Ovis aries: one gene and its partners. The protein of the gene in region 1 interacts with the protein of each later gene in a pairwise test. Links are inferred from orthologs where the notes say so. Each region holds a gene or a part of one and is shown on either strand. Other genes may lie near its edges. The genes, in order: SUFU, GLIS3, RCN3 and HDX.

Region 1 (4,170 bases):
GCCTCCAAACATCTCATCCTTTGTCGTCCCCTTCTCCTCCCACCTTCAATCTTTCCCAGCATCAGGGTCTTTCCCAATGAGTCAGTTCTTCCCATCAGGTGGCCAAAGTACTGGAAATAATCAACAAAATATTTTTGGTTGATTTTCTCATGTTTTTCCTGGAAAGGTGTAAACCTGGCAACATACTAGTATTGGTCTGAAGACTGACATTTGGAACTACTGGTACAGATGATCTTTTGGTCATTAAAACATCCTTCATCTAATAGCTTCATAACTGTTGTCTCTCTCTGTCTCTCTTTAGTCGCTAAGTCATGTCTGACTCTTTGTGATCCCATGGATTTGTAGCCTGCTAGGATCCTCTGTCCATGGGGTTCTCCAGGCAAGAATACTCGAGTGGGTTGCCATTTTCTTCGCCATAGGATCTTCCCGACCCAGGGATCGAACCCAGGTCTCCTGCACTGCAGGCAGATTTTTACCGACTGAGCTGCGAGGGAAGCCCAGGAACTGCTCTAGTATATCTTTAATTTTCATGGGGAGCTAGAAATCCTAGGGACGGGGGAACCTGGTGGGCTGCCGTCTATGGGGTCGCACAGAGTCGGACACGACTGAAGCAACTTAGCAGCAGTGGCAGCAGCAGAAATGACACTGATGAATGAGAAAATGGAATTGAGAGATTATGTGTTACTGCTTTCTAAGGAGCCCAGTGCATTTTTCTCTAATAAATTATTTCCTCTTTTCCTTCATGTTGTGGGGATCTTTAGTTAATAGCCAGTAGTCAGGACTTTCCGCCAGTAGTCAGGACTTTCCGCCAGTAGTCAGGATTCTCTTCTATCCTTTTCTCTTGAAATTTCAAGATTATTGAGTGGAAGACATTACTATAAGTAAAGTTATTGCAGGCAGGAAAATAATTTCCAACCCGGTGCCTTAGAAACTAAAAAATCCCGTTTTTAATGCTACATGGACGAAGGAAGCAATCCATTGTAGCAATCCATTGTTACATTTATGTTTAAATCCTTCTGAAATAAATAAATTAAATAAATCCTTCTGAGCATCGTATTAGCATAACAGTGACATGCTTTTTGTCGGCGCACTTCCCAAAGCTTTCTTGGGTCCCTAGCACCTCAGAGGATGTCCCAATATCTCTATTTAATCCTGGGCTCCTCCTAACGCTAGGGGGAAGCGAAGAGCCTTGGAACACCCCCACAACTCTGGGAGAGAGAGGGAGGCGGGACCTATTGTCAAGTCACGCCTTCCCTACCTGTGACTGGCACAGACATTGGCCAATGGAACCGGAATAGGGCGCGCCGGCACCCCGCCCCCTGAGCGCCCCGCGGCCCCCGAGGCACCCTCTGGCCGTCTCCACCGCGGCGACGGCCTGGGCGGACAGTGCGCCTTGCGCAGGCGCGGAGCCTAGACCTCGCTGCAGCCCCCATCGCCTCCGGGAGTCGCACCCAAGGAGTTCGCCTGCTGGCGCGTCAGTGCTCTCCCCCTCGTCTGCCCTCCCCGGTCCCCCCAGCACCCTACGCGCCCCGATGGCGGAGTTGCGGCCTAGCGGCGCCCCCGGCCCCACCGCGCCCCCGGCCCCTGGCCCTACTGCCCCTCCGGCCTTCGCGTCGCTCTTCCCCCCAGGACTGCACGCCATCTACGGAGAGTGCCGCCGCCTGTACCCAGACCAGCCGAACCCGCTCCAGGTTACCGCTATCGTCAAGTACTGGTACGTCTTGGGCCGCGCGGAGACCGACAGGGGCGGGCTGAGAAGGGTTAAAGCGCCAGGAGCGAAGTAATTTGCCAGGGAATTGGAGGGGAAAGGAGAGTGGTTAAAGCACTTGGAAGAGGGCTTCCTGCTGTGAGGGAAGAAGTTAAGGCTCAAGTTAGGAATGGGGACAAAGGGGTTAACGAAGCCTGCGGGTAGCGAAGGGTTAGCAAGGGAGGGGAGGATGAAGGGTTAACTGGCATTAGAAGAATGGAGTGAATTGGGGGTGTTGGTAGAAGCTGAGGGGGCGACGGTCGGAGAGAGGGAACTGTAAACGTGGTGAAAGGAGGGGGCGCCTGGAGGGGGTCTAAGTGGGCGCGTGGAAGCCGAAGGGGGGCGGCTGAAGTGAGATGGGGGAGGCGAGGCGGGGCCTGAGGAGCATCTGAGAAGGCTTTGGAGCCGCGCGGCCGGAGGAGCTCCGAGCTCGGAGGGCACGGGACTGCACAGGGTAGGGGCGGGTGTGGGTCTGTGGGTTAGGATGTGAGCGTTGAGCTTGTGAGGGGATGAGGGGGAGGTCTCATTTTGATACCTTCCGGATGAGCTCAGACATTCATATCAGTGCAGTGCTTTTGCGTTTGAAGTTTGATGGAGCAGCTTCTCCCGATCAACTTTCTGCTTACTCTGCACAGTTCTCTTACTCCATGCAGAGCTTCCTCTGGCTCCGCGGCTGCTTTGGTCTAGGTCACTGGCTAGAACAGGGGCAGGCTGGGTCAGGGAGATCCATGGTTTGGCTCAGGATTGAAGGAGGCTGCTGTTAACGACGAAGATCCGGAACTTGGACACGGGAGGATCCTTCAGTGAGATATTAAGAGTAACTTTGTGGGCTGGAGCGCCCAGATGTAGGCAACAGTTCCTCAGGGGAGCTGAGAGTAATCCCTAAGTAACTCTGTTAAGATCAGACCTATGTACACATGGACTGCCCCTGGGGAAGGAATGGTCTTTTCTCGTTTCCCATTCTTTTTGTAACCTGTTTCTTCGTGCCACCTCTGTTATGGGGACTCTTCTTCATGGTCTTGCTGAACTAAAAGTTGACTAAGAAACTAGTTGAATCTGTACAAAACCACTTTCATGCAGGCACTGTATTAGATGAACTCCTTCATTGGCTCCTAAAAGACTGTTCAAGGCAGGCACTTGGGGTGTGACCAAAGGGGAGGTACCCCCGAAGGGGGAATGAGTAGAGTGGATGTCTTTACTGGTTACCTTCCTTTAGGGCTGAGTCTTTTCCCTCCCTGGCAACCACTTACTTCTTCTGGAGATTGCAGGAGCTGGGCTGCCTAGGGCGGAGGCCAGCTCCCTATGTCTGTGGGAGGCTGTGGAGAGGCTGACAGTGTGAAGGGCCTGGGGAGCAACCACCTGCTCCGTGGGGAGAGCGGCAGGAGCAGCCTGCCTCTGTCTGGTAGCCAGAAGGAGGTGTGGCCTGCAGCACAGTTTTCTCTGGCAGGCACGGTGTTCTTTGGTTGAGAGGAGTTTTTGAAGAGGTCTTCTGAGTAAAAAGCAGCTCTTGATAACTTAATCACTCATTTTAAACTTTTTATTTATTTTCATCTACAAATTATGGCAATTTTATTTCATTTTTATCATTTTTTTTACCATTTACTTCTTTTTCTTGACTTATTGCTATCTGGTATAATTTCCTTTCAGTACATAAACTTTTTATTTTAAATTGGTATATAGCCGATTAACAATGTTTGTGATAGTGTCAGGTGAATGGTGAAGGGACTCAGCCTTACATACACATATAGCCATTCTCCTCCGAATTCCTCTCCTCTCCAGACTGCCACATAACATTGAGCAGAGTTCCATGTGCTATACAGTAGGTCTTTGTTGGTTTGTACCACTATATTTAAATATGTACAGTGATGGACTCTATTGGCATACTTCGTGAGAAAAAGGGGACCTGCCTCTGGCATGCTGTTTGTTCAGGCCTTGTTTGAGTATAAGGAGAAATCCCCTCTCAGACTTGGGCCACTGTTATTATGTCACCCAAGTGGACATGAAGGATAGAGTTGTAAAAGGTGTTGAACACGGGCTCCCCTGGCGGTCCAGGGGTTAAGACTCTGTGCTTCCACTGCAAGGGGTATGGGTTCGATTCCTGGTTGGGGGAGTTCCACAAACCATGAGGTGTGGCAAAAAAGAAAAAGATATTGAACACATGCAAAGGACTAAGATTAGTTTGGGAATCTGCTTTTTCCTCCATCTCCCTGTGAACCTTTTTTCCCATGTTGCTGCAAGTTTGTTAACCAAGTCAGGACTTATCTTAAAAGATGGGCCAGCATCTAATGATGAATAAAAACGATTGTATAGCACTTTGTGAAATTAGAAATGCTGCCTGGATACAGAAATAAATGAGAAGAAACAGCCCAGGGACTGGTTCTTTCTAAAATTCAGAAGGGGTTGCATAATTAAGTCCTGAAAGT
Region 2 (4,098 bases), on another chromosome or scaffold:
TTTTGAAAAGCAAAGGATACCTGTATTTCTGATTTTCTAAAATGATAAAGAAAAAAGAAAACCTCCTCACAAAAAGGTTACCATGGTTGATATCCTGTGCTTGATGATTTATGGGGCATTCTTTTGGGAGGTGAGTTGGAAATATTCATCTAAGACATTGAGTGGACCATAGGAAAAAGGAAGACTCATCCAGTTGAGGATATCTGGCCATTACTACTTTGCACCCAGTCTGTATTTCTTGTTTGTCCAACGGCTTCTTCCCATGACTGTCACGTTTACTTAAAAGAATTCAAATTGCCACTGAGTCTGTCATTTATTTGGAGTAGTGGCACTTAGTCCTTAGTCATGGCAAGACATACATTAGGGAACTATAGATCAAGAGAGGAAAAAGCCTTTCTGAATGATTTGTAACCAGGGAGTAGTGACGCACGGATGGATGATGATGTCCTGTGGCCACGTCACTACTTTTGGTTCTCCCTCTGCTATTTGAGAAAGGGGGTGACCGGACGGCAGATGGAAGCTTCGTGGAACTGCTGTCAGTTTACTGTGCATGGTACATGGTGAGCATACTCACCTTGAGAAGGGTTGTTTCGTCCTTATGCTCTCTGTAAAGCATCTCACACAGCCTTATCCTTTTCTAGGATCTTACTGAAAGGTGAGAGTATTGTGATGTTGATTATATTTTCATCCCCATAAACTCGGGATCAACATAGAACTAAGACTCTAATGCTGCTGTAAATATTTAGATATGTGAAACCTTTATGAAAGTACCATGCCTATTTAAAAAAATCTTTTGTTAATCTAGGGACCATGAAAAAATTGCTTGTTAATGTCCTCACAATCTCATTTAGAGTTTATATCATCTTTCTGTTTGTTTACTGGAAACCTTTGAGCAGTAGTCTTACAGCTCATGATGGTGATGCATTTGGGTTTCCCAGGATGCACCATAACAAATGTGAGCTAGTACAGACAGATCCTCTATGGAGCAAAATAAGTTTCATTTTGCGAGCTGGCACCAGTAGATTGGTTATAGTTGCCAAGAGCACTGTATTGAGAACATTTCAGTGGCAAACAAAACAAAACAATGCAGTGATCCATAATCCATGTCCACCATGAATGCAGGAGGGGAGAGTGCCTGCCAATGAACCATGTATTTGATAACCATGTTCTACATAAAAGACCGTTTTGCTGAGTGCTTCCTGATATGAATGCTACACAGGTTGAAAGCTCATTGTAACTTATTTTCCTTTTTACTTTTAAAAATGCCTGCATTTATTTTTTTAAACAGGCTAATAAACCACACCATGGATAACTTATTGGACTTTGCCTGAAAGGAATCATTAGTGTCATTGGATATTTGACCAACCTGACTACAGGTTTTTTCAGAATGAATGGAAGGTCATGCAGCATGAATCTCCACCGGACATCAGGAACCCCACAGGGGCCTGGGATGGTCAGTGGCCAACACATCCCTCCCATTCAAGCCCATTCGGGGACTCCTGGCCCCTCACCCTGTGGCAGCACAACAAGCTCTGCCATTGGAAGCCTTGCTAACAGCCTCCATCTCAAGATGCCCTCAGGAGGAGGGATGGCTCCTCAGAGCAACATGAATGAGAGCCCCATCCATCTGCCTGCCTTGAGCCCCAGCAGACAAGTGCTCACCAGTGGGAAGCCACGTTTCCAGGTCACCCAGGCTGGAGGCGTGTCAGGGCCACACACGGTAAAGCCAAAGCAGCCGGAGTTTGGAAGCCCCTTTCCTCCAAATTCTGGGAAAGGTAGGATTGTCTTTCTGGGATCTTTTAAAAGTGGACACTGTTGTTTTTCTCTCCCTTGTCTCTTCTCTGCAAGCAAATCCTATGGAAAAATACATGATTCAGTGTCAGGCTCAAAGTCTCATAATGCTATGTAGCTTCCTAGGAAAGGATGTGAATGTGTACATTTGTGTGAGGACGAGGGCACCACAGTGGTAGATGTACTGTTTCGTGGACTGTGAAACAGGGCTGAAGAAGAGATGGAAAGATTGGAAACAAGGAGGTAGCATAAGTGTCATAGAGGAAACCAAGAGCATGTTTAGCAAGACCTTGCCCCCTGGATGCACAGAGCTCCATCTTGTCTTACCAGGAGCTAGATTCTGCAGGCCATGGAGGAGACGGCTGACTGCAGCTGTCATTATGTTAGTTGGATGCTAGAAGAAAGGTGATGTTTGGAAGGAAAAGGATTTAAAGTGGAGAAATTTTAATAGCCAATAAAATGAGGAACAAGTACAAAAAATGATAAAAAGATATTCTTAGAGCAAAACCTATAATCTTTATAACATAGCTGGTGACAATAGAGAAAGCAGCTAGAAAAGTATATTGAAAAGATGTATGTCTATGCTTGTGGAGAACTAGAAAAACTTGCCAATTTGAGAGAGATGAGTGCAGAGAGAATGCTTCCAATGCAGTAGGTTTTGAATTACCATAGCTTTTTTTTTTTTACCATAGATTTTGAATTAAGAATAATTGTCAGAGAATAACAAATGATTTGAATGACTTGCTCTGTCTAGAAACTGATACTGCGTTAACGAGGTTATATTGCTAATGATATGTGTATCGGGGCTAGAAAAAGGAGCATGTATATTATATAAAACATAGCTTTGTTATATAGAAGAGCATGATTATATTTTCCTCTGGGTATTTTTACCATTTCGTTTTAAATGCCTATACTCAGTGTTTATGTATGTGCGTTCTCAGTCATGTCTTACTCTTCCCAACGCTGTGGACTGTAGCCTGCCAGGCTCCTCTGTCCATGGGATTTTCCAAGCAAGAATACTGGAGTGGATTTCCATTTCCTCCTCCACGTGTTTATACCCCCAAATAAAATTACTAGCAGCCTTGTAAGTGGCTGTTTACCTAGTTAGCTCATAACTTAGCCAGTTATGATGAATAATGCTTTATATCAGGCAGGTAACCCAAAAGTTGTTTGTTTTAGTGTCTATGTATTTCTGAGTATGTAGAAGTTGATATAAATGGATAGACTAAAAAACCTAAACATATGTGTAACTTTTTTTCTTTTCTTTTTTACTTATTTATTTTGGTCTAGGTTTGTTTTGAATTGTCTTATTTCTCAGAGCTAACTGATATCCAGTGTAAGTACAGGAAAATTTTCCCTGGGGGCTGCAACCAAAATAGCTCTGTCATTGTTAGGTTGCTGTGTTCCTGACATGGCAAGCTAAGTTTCTTAATGTCAAGCTCATGTGTTTGTATTTACAGGGGCTGAGGCCCAGTACAATTTTTTAGCTCATGCTTGACTAGTGAACTGTAGCTTGCTTTTACATATATTTGTGTTTGAAATCCTGACTTGCAGGAAATAGTGGTGATAATATCAAAAACTTGTACTTATTATATAATAACTTAGCATGTGTTAGGCATTGTGTTAAGTGCTTTCCAGTACATAATCTCAGTTATTCCTCACAACACTCCTGAGTTGTATGCTATTGTTGAATAAATGACAAAGGAATTAAAGTCTAGAAAAAAATAAGTAACTTAAGCCTTGTCAGGCAATAAGAAGTTTGGGAATATTACTTTGATAGTGACTAGGTGTGTTTATAATTATAGTCATAGTTGATAAAAAAATGTTCAGGTACTTAAGGAATAACAAACTCTCAGGGCAGTTCATCATGGAACTCATGTAAAAATTAGCACTGCTTCCTGATTCTCCTCTTTTTGATTTTCTGGGTCCTTGCTTAGCTTCCAAGCTTGCAGTGCCTTTTCTAGATCTGCATGATTAGGGCATGCAGGGACATGGGTAAGGAGTTGAGGACAACTATTATTCTCCCTCACCTTACAGGTTGGATGCCACTAGTGGCCCGGATGTTACCAGGAGTGGCTGATTGTGTCCCCCTCAAATCTTGGTTGACAGTTTCTGAACTAAGCCAATAGCTGAGAATGGCGATCTGGAACTGATTGAACTTCATCGAGTTATTTGTTCTATAAATAATTATTAAGCATATGTTATGGGTGAGCTACTGTTTGGGGGATTTGTTGCTGTTCAGTCGCTAAGTTGTGTCCAACTCTTTGAGACCCCAGGGACTGCAGCATGCCAAGCTCCTCTGTCCTC
Region 3 (4,262 bases), on another chromosome or scaffold:
GTGGATGTCAGAATGAGAAACCAGAGATCAGGGATTGGGGGTGGGCCCTAGTCAAGGGTCAGAAGTCAAAGGTTAGGGATCTGGTTAACGTGGCTTGAGGGTCTCAGGATGAAGGTGTCACAAATGTCCGGGTCACGGTGTGTGAGGGGACCAGGGGTCGGTTCTCGCCGCGTACCCGGCTCATAGTGGCCGTAGGTGGCGTTGCGCAGCTCCTCCCAACCCACACGCCCGTCGCGGTCTGTGTCGTACGTGTTCCAGGCCGCGCTCACTGAGTCCCGTATGTGCCGCTGCTGCGTGTGTGCGATCCACGAGCGGAGCTCGGCCAGCGACACCCAGCCATCCCCGTCTCCGGCGCGGTCCATGCGGTCCACAATGCGCCTGCGAGCCGGGGCGGGCGCACGTCAGTCTCGGACCCCGCCCACCCCGGGTCCCGCCTTCTGCTAGACACTGGAGACACAGCCCCATATAGGACTGAAAATGCTGTCCCTGCCGACAAACCGGGGGGAGGAGTCTGTCAATCCCAGGACCACTCCCACCAGAGGGCTCCGCCCTCTCAATCCAGGCTCCGCTCCCAGAGGCGATAACCTCTATGCCGAGATGCAGCGGGCCTGTGGCTGGCGCTCCGCTCTACAACTCGACGGCTTGGGGGAAGGACCCATGACAATCCACGTCCAACCCTCCACTTTGGCCCCACCTCTCAACCCTGCGCGTGTTCCATCTCTCACTTGAAAGAGCTGGGAGGGGACGGAGGGCAGGGAGTCACACCGCGCCCATCGCCCGCAGATTCCCTGTCCCAATATCCACTCTGAACTCCGACTGCCACTGCAACACGAGGTCCGGACGGCTCCCCGTCCCTGGCCCCGCCCCCTCCCTGGCCGCGCGCGTCTATCTCAGGCCAATATCCCTGCAGTCCCGAGTTATGCTGCGACTCTCCCCTTGCGCCTGGTTTTTCCTAGCCGTTATCAGGCTTTGCCCTATGACTGTCACCCCCAACACGGCGGGCTCGGCCTTCACCCACTCCTCTCCGAGCTCCAGCCTGATCCTGCACACCTCCATGTCTCAGGTCAAGCCCCTTTAGGCCACCACCTCATGCCCCTTCTCTCAGGCCACGCCTGTCGGTTCCCAGGTTCCATCCCTGGTAACGTCCCGTCATTGGTCTGTGTCCTCGCCCGACCGCTAACGGAGCCCTTCTTCCGGTCTCCATCCCAAAGCCCCTCGACCCAGTTCCCAGAATCCAATTTGAGATGGCCCTGCCTAGATCGCTGACCCGTCCCTCCAGCGTTATGTTGTCTCTGCTCTGCTCCGGCTACCCTGAGGTTCGAGCTGTGGTTAAGAGTTTGGACTCTAGAGCCAAACATTAAGGTTCAAATCCTGCTGCCTCTTCTTGCTGGCCGTGTGACGGTCGGCAAGTCATATAACCTCTCTGTGCCTTAGTTTCCCCCTCTGTAAAATGGGAATAAGTAATAGAACATACCTCACACTGTGGATGTTGGGATTAAATGAGTTAAGCCTGGTAAGCCCTTTGCATGGTGCTGGGCATTGTAGTAAGCGCGACCACAAATGCGTTAGCCTACTTCATCCAACTCCATCCATGCACAACATTCTAGTCAGCATAGCTGACCACCACGGACATCTCCACCCTGAGTTGGGATACCCTGGTCTCTTATCTCCCACCTGGAAGACTGCAGTCCCTTCCTCAACGTGCTCTCTACTTCTTGCTCCCTATAGTCTGTTCCCTGCATGGCAACCAGAGGGATCCTGTTAAAACTGAAGTCGGCTCACCTCCTCCTTCAGAGCCATTGCATAGCTCTCATCTCACTGGGTCCCCTGCACAACCTGATCCCTCTGTTCTCTCTGCTACTACCTCCTACTTTCTCCCTCTGCTCACTGGGTTCCAGTCACATAGACCTCTCCCTTTTTCAAATACACGAGGCACATAATTCCCCCTCCTGCCTCAGGGCCTTTGCACTTACAGTTCCTTCTTCCTGGAATGCTATTCCCCCATATACCCAAGTGGCTCAAATATCACCTTCTCACTAAGGGCTCCCCTAACCTCCTCTTGAAAATTACAATCCTCCTTCCCCTCCATCTCTCCTACCCCAGACGAGCTTGACTTTCCTCTGGGGTGAGTTGGTCGAATTCCTTGGCCACTTCTCGTCCCAGAAAAGCCTCATGATCATATTGGAAGTTCCCGTGAGCGTCATCATGAGGGGCTTCGCTCAGGGGGGCCGCGTGGTGCACCCTCCCCTGGCCATGAGGGCCGGCGTCAGGAGACGGCTTCCCCTGGGCTCCACGCCTGAGCAGCAACAGCAGCAGCAGAAGTGAGGGTGGCCACATCATCAGTCCCTGAGGAGTGGCGGAGGCTAGGAGTCAGAGTCACAGAGAAAAGGACAGAGAGGGGATGGGAGGGATGGGGACGCGGGCAGGGGGGAGCCCAGGACAGGACAGAGAGCTGGTAGCTGGTTGCAAAGTTTGGGCCTCAAGAAGGGACAGGAAGGGGGGAAGGAAGGCGGGATTCTCAGAGGTTAACCAGCTGTAGGGACCGAATCCTCCGAGGAAGTCCCAGAGAAGTACCCCAAGAGGGTAGGATTCAAGCGGGAGACGTGGCGCACTTCCCACGCGTAGTTCAGGGCAGGGTAGTGTCCAGAGAGAAATCTTGCAGGTTCCCGGGCATCGCTTTCAGCCTGGTCCCCAATCCTCCACCCAAGCGGACCCAAACCGTCCTCCCTGGACAAGCCACCCGCCCCCGCCTCCCTTTACCGGGTCAGATAGCTTCACTTCGCTCTCCACGTTCCACCCTGCGTTCTCCAAAAAGATGCCCAATTTGGCGGCTCTCCAGTCAGGCCCCGCCTCCTGAAGCGCAGAGGCCCCGCCCCCAGCCAATGAGCGCTCTGGAGGGCCTCATGGGGCGGGGCCAAAGAAGCGGGGCGGGCCAAAGGCGCCCCTCGCCACGTCCACAAAGGAAAGCGCGGCCCCGCGAGGCTCGGCCCCGCCCCTTCCCAGTGAAGGCGAAGTGGGCAAATCCGGAGTGACACGGCCGGGGGAACTACAACTCCCGGCAGGCGTCGGGGCGCCCTGCCCGACCACCTCCAGTTGCTCTAGCTTCAAAGCCTCACGGGAGATGTATTTTTATCTCTTTCCCTTTGTCCGCAGGTTTTAGGAAAGGGAACCTAGGAGCCAGAGGAGGCTTTCCTTTCCCTCAAGGAGGGAACATCTCTTCCGCTACACCAAGAAGTCAGATCAGACTCCAGCCAAGAATTCCTCAAAATGCCTGGCACAAACATCCAGTAAATATTTGTGAAATTTATTCATTAAAAATACATGACTTGGTATATAAAGTTGGCAAATTCCACCATGGCAACAAGTTAGCCTCAGGAGAGATTTGAAGCCCAAGGCTTACACCATTTATCCCCCCTCACAATTCCCTAAAAAAGTTGAAACGATGAGAACACAACGATTCGGGCCTAAACCCATGTTATATGTGGAGCTGGAAAAGAACCATATATATCAGGAGGGGGAACTGAGGCAGATCACAGGAGGAGAAATCCAGAGGGAGGACATTGGGCTCCTTCCGGAGGCTCAAAAATACCAGGATTCCCGGAGGTCTCACAGCATGAAAAGGACCTGAGGACATTAGCTGGTAACAGCCAGGATGGGGGATGATCGGCAGTTGCTGGGAACGCATTTTTATCCTAAGATTCACCATCCTTGGACAGGCCGGGAGTGGGCAGGAGGGCCCCTACATCCTCCCCACGGAAAGAGATCCAAGAAGCTGAGAAAAGAGGGACAGGGGAGATGATTAGAATCTTTGAAATCCTTCAGGTCTCTGACTGCCCCTCCCCACGTATGTGTATGTGTGTGTGTGGTGTGTGTTGTTTGTGTGTGTCTGTGTCTTTTTCAGTCTCTGTCCTACGCTATGGATTTCTATCCCCCTGAGTCTCTTTCTCCCCTCCAGTTTTCTTTCTCTCCATCTCTCTCTGGGTCTCTGTCCCCCTCTGTCCCTGCAGGAATGAGTCTCCCGATTTTGGAGGGGGTCTCTACCCCTCTCTCTGAGGCACCTCCCTCTTCCTGTCCCACACCTGGCAGCCCCTTCCTCATCCTTCTCCACAGGAGAGCTCCGCCCGCAGCCACTGTCAGGAGCAGGAAAAAGCCGATGACGATTCCCACCACTGGCATCGAGGTTCTGGCTGGTGATTCTGCAGTCAGACAATGTTGTGAGATATTTAAGGGACCCTCCGCCACATCTGAGTCAGGACAGGGGA
Region 4 (3,563 bases), on another chromosome or scaffold:
TGAACCACAAAATTTAAGCTATAGTTTACTCATAAGGCTTAATCTAGCATGTAAATTATGTGTCCAGTTTCATGAATTGTGCTCCACCCATGCTGTACACACACAGACATCCCAAGATGGTAGTTAGCAGTCATATTTGTCTGTTTTATTTAAGCATTTTGGTTTATTACGTGAGCTAAGCATATTCCATGGCATATTGAAAATGTATTTGTTTTTTAGGAACCTAAAATACAGATTTTAAATGAATAAGATGATAGTCTTGAACCTGGTCCCCAAAGAACTGTAATTTTTAATTACATTAATATTTAAAACAGGAAAAATAGAATTAGGTTCAATATGGGAGTAATTTGGAGTGTGGTCTTAGTCCCAAAAGTCACGCATGGTTTGTATTTCAGAGTTATGTGGTCAGTTTATTCGCAGTTGTCTATGACTTTTTATATCTAGGAATAGCACACAAGCTGCATTTTATTTTCTTATTCTAACCTGGTTTTATCCTTCCCCCAAAACCACTAAAAAAATAAGAAAAGTACCTATTGTGCATTTTACTTTTGCCCTTTTCTTCTACTTTTCCTCTGAAAAAGGCTGATGAACTAAGATATGGACAAAACATTGGCTGGGGGGGAAAAGAGATAGTTATACAAAAATTGTACTGAAAATCATAGCCTATATAATCAGCATCCAAGTACAAAATACTGATTTTTGTACTTGAGATTGGGTATAATGGATCTCCAAATACAGTCTAAAAATATAGAAGATACCAACACAAAAGTTACCCAAGTCATCTCTTAAATTACTGATCTTTACTCCATGAAATGCTTAAAGGTTTATTTCGGGAAGGACTTGATTTTTATTCTGCCTAATAAAAGAGAATCATTGTGTCATTGGTTTCTCATTTTAAAATCCTGTTTTTCTGTTAATCTTAATTTGGGTAAATTGAGTAAGATGAGTGAACCACAGAATATTTTGCCACCATGAATCAGTCCAGGGTTTGAAAATATACGATAATGTCTGACTGAATATTAGATTATCCAAACCAATAGCCATTTTTAAATAAAAATAATGTTGTCAGCACTGTACTAAGTCATTAGTTATGATCTTTCTTCCCTTGATAATTCACTATGTGATTCTATTCTATTGAGAAATGCAATAATCTCTTGGGAAGAATGGCAGTAGGTTACACTCTGACTGGTAGAGAACCTGGAGTGAAGCAAGTTCATTGTGTTCACTTTAGTCTATGAAAAAGACAGTTCTAGCAACTGACAAAATCTGAAGATTTGTTCAGTGTTGCAATACAAAAAGATATCAAAAAGGAATATTTTTAAATGGACCTCATGCATTAGCAGTGCCTTGTTCTGCCTCAGATATTAAAGTTTTCCTATTTCATACTGCACTGATTTTAGTCAGGCAACTACATTAAATGCAATGACAAAGAAATACATAGTAGTGCTTCTTTGATTTTAAGGTCTCCTCGCTAGAATTTAAATGTTGTTAAGTCTACTCACCTACATGACTCTCCAGTATGCTAAGCTTTGTTCATTGGAACACTTTGCCCTCTTTAGTATGGCTTCTTTGCACTTGCAAAGTGAAATAAATCCAGTGATGTCTTTCTCGTAAACTATGATCAACCACTGTCAGCAAAGGCTTTGTTGTACTATACTGGGTTAGTGGTAAACAACTGACCTAGAAGAAAATGGTTCTGTGCCCTATTACTGCAACCTAGAAACCTTAGGAAGCATGTAGTACCTTTAGGTGACTGCTTTGTAAACAGTACTCTGAGTTTCACCAAGAAGTTCATGAACAATTTAATAGCAAAAAATAAATAAATTTTTGTACAGACAGGAGTTAGCCTTTCCTTTTGCAGCCTGACAGAAAGTTCTAATCTTTCCTCTAAAACAACAACAACAACAACAAAAACTATAGGATTTACAACTGTCACTTCTTTTAATAAAGAGAATAGGAGAGTACTGTCTTATTTCAGCAGTGGATTTCATGTGTTCTCTAACATGCCCTGTCTTTCTGTTCATTATTTGGGTAGAGGCAAACCTGCACTTGATCTTTTTTTTTTTACTATTGCACCCAAAGCTAACACTACAACTAATGTTGTCTAAAAATTGTCGAGATATGTTACATTATTTTTAGTATTGGGAGCAGCAAACCATTCATTTAGTTTGCCATTTCTGATGGTCAAATGGGCATCAACACTACCAGCCAGATAAAACTTGATTAATTATTTTTCTAGTATGAATGCATATTCTGCAACTCCAGATGGAACAATTACACCATGGCAAAACTTAGTTCATGGCTCTTGCCTTATCCTAATTACTCCAGAAGAGAGATGAGCAGTCCTCTAAAAACATCATTACACAGCCAAATTCACTGGTTCAGCAGAGCCTTTATGAATGCTTGGCCATCTGTAGATATGACCATAGCCTAAGGAAAGAAAAAAAAATCACTTGGACTTTTGAAATGCTAAAATTTTATCTAAAATAGAATAGCTGAACTTTTCCCCTAATTGCTTAATTACTTCTCCCACTGAAGTACAAAATAGTCTTGTGAACTGTGTTTTAGTGTGACAGACAGTATAACTGGGCAGGGGTATTTTAATAAGTTACATACAATTTTGAGCTTCCCTGGTGGCTCAGAGGTTAAAGTGTCTGCCTCCAGTGTGGGAGACCCGGGTTTGATCCCTGGGTCGGGAAGATCCCCTGGAGAAGGAAATGGCAATCCACTCCAGTATTCTTGCCTGGAGAATCCCATGGACAGAGAAACCTAGTAGGTTACAGTCCACAGGGTCACAAAGAGTCGGACACGACTGAGTGACTTCACCTCACCTCACATACAATTTTAAAGTCCTTTAGCAATGATCACTGAACAATCAAAACTGATATGAAAACCACTTATCTCAGACACTTCAGAGCATTTGGTTCAGAGTAGTTGCTCATTTCTCTCATCATTCCCTCTTTGTAGGTTACACTCTACATAACCCACACTCTCAAGATCTAGTATTTTATTACTTCCTTAAGAGTATATGAAGAGTTTTTCTCTTAGAAAAGATGCTGTACAAGGTTCTGAGAGAGAAATGCTCCTTTCTTTAAATCTGTAAGAATAAATCAATGTGAAAGGACCACAACTATAAAGCTGGAAAAATATGTTCAAATACTAATTCAAAACAATTGATTTTTCTGACTCAGGCATTGCTGTCAGATTTACCTCCTGAATTAGAAGAGATGGATTTCAATCATGCCTCGCCGGAGCCTGATGATACCTCATTCAGTGTGTCTTCTTTATCAGAGAAAAATGCCTCAGACAGTTTGTGATTGGGGTGGGGGAGGGATATATGATACAGCCTTTTGGCTACCCAACAAGTATGCATTTCAAGATAGTTGTATTGTGCTGCCCCAAAATTCTTCAGTTGGAAAAATATATTGTTGAAGCAATGTATTCTGTGAAGGATGAACGAGATATAATGGCTGTGGTGCAAAATGGTACAGATGGTACAAAAAAAAGTTTGTAAAATTTAAAAGCATTGTTTGAGAGTTTTTTCCCAAACTGATGGAACTCTG

What was found.
Region 2: the proteins of SUFU (region 1) and GLIS3 interact in binary tests that used the Homo sapiens proteins (3 or more experiments, as listed by UniProt). The link is inferred for Ovis aries from reciprocal best matches to the Homo sapiens genes SUFU and GLIS3.
Region 3: the proteins of SUFU (region 1) and RCN3 interact in binary tests that used the Homo sapiens proteins (3 or more experiments, as listed by UniProt). The two-hybrid records come from large-scale screens. The link is inferred for Ovis aries from reciprocal best matches to the Homo sapiens genes SUFU and RCN3.
Region 4: the proteins of SUFU (region 1) and HDX interact in binary tests that used the Homo sapiens proteins (3 or more experiments, as listed by UniProt). The link is inferred for Ovis aries from reciprocal best matches to the Homo sapiens genes SUFU and HDX.

Annotation. Positions count from the first base shown.
Region 1 is NC_056075.1:22,878,998-22,883,167, forward strand, and holds the start of SUFU (suppressor of fused homolog), read left to right. Parts: upstream 1-1,344; 5' UTR 1,345-1,532; coding exon 1,533-1,714; intron 1,715-4,170. UniProt on the Homo sapiens protein: Negative regulator in the hedgehog/smoothened signaling pathway. Down-regulates GLI1-mediated transactivation of target genes. Down-regulates GLI2-mediated transactivation of target genes. Part of a corepressor complex that acts on DNA-bound GLI1.
Region 2 is NC_056055.1:72,610,525-72,614,622, reverse strand, and holds the start of GLIS3 (zinc finger protein GLIS3), read left to right. Parts: upstream 1-1,291; 5' UTR 1,292-1,387; coding exon 1,388-1,775; intron 1,776-4,098. UniProt on the Homo sapiens protein: Acts both as a repressor and an activator of transcription. Binds to the consensus sequence 5'-GACCACCCAC-3'.
Region 3 is NC_056067.1:55,701,008-55,705,269, reverse strand, and holds the start of RCN3 (reticulocalbin-3), read right to left. Parts: upstream 2,827-4,262; 5' UTR 2,761-2,826; intron 2,347-2,760; 5' UTR 2,341-2,346; coding exon 2,099-2,340; intron 379-2,098; coding exon 176-378; intron 1-175. Other genes in the region: FCGRT (IgG receptor FcRn large subunit p51 precursor), read right to left, coding at 3,693-3,772, 4,080-4,196. UniProt on the Homo sapiens protein: Probable molecular chaperone assisting protein biosynthesis and transport in the endoplasmic reticulum.
Region 4 is NC_056080.1:75,382,373-75,385,935, reverse strand, and holds part of HDX (highly divergent homeobox), read left to right. Parts: intron 1-3,191; coding exon 3,192-3,317; 3' UTR 3,318-3,563.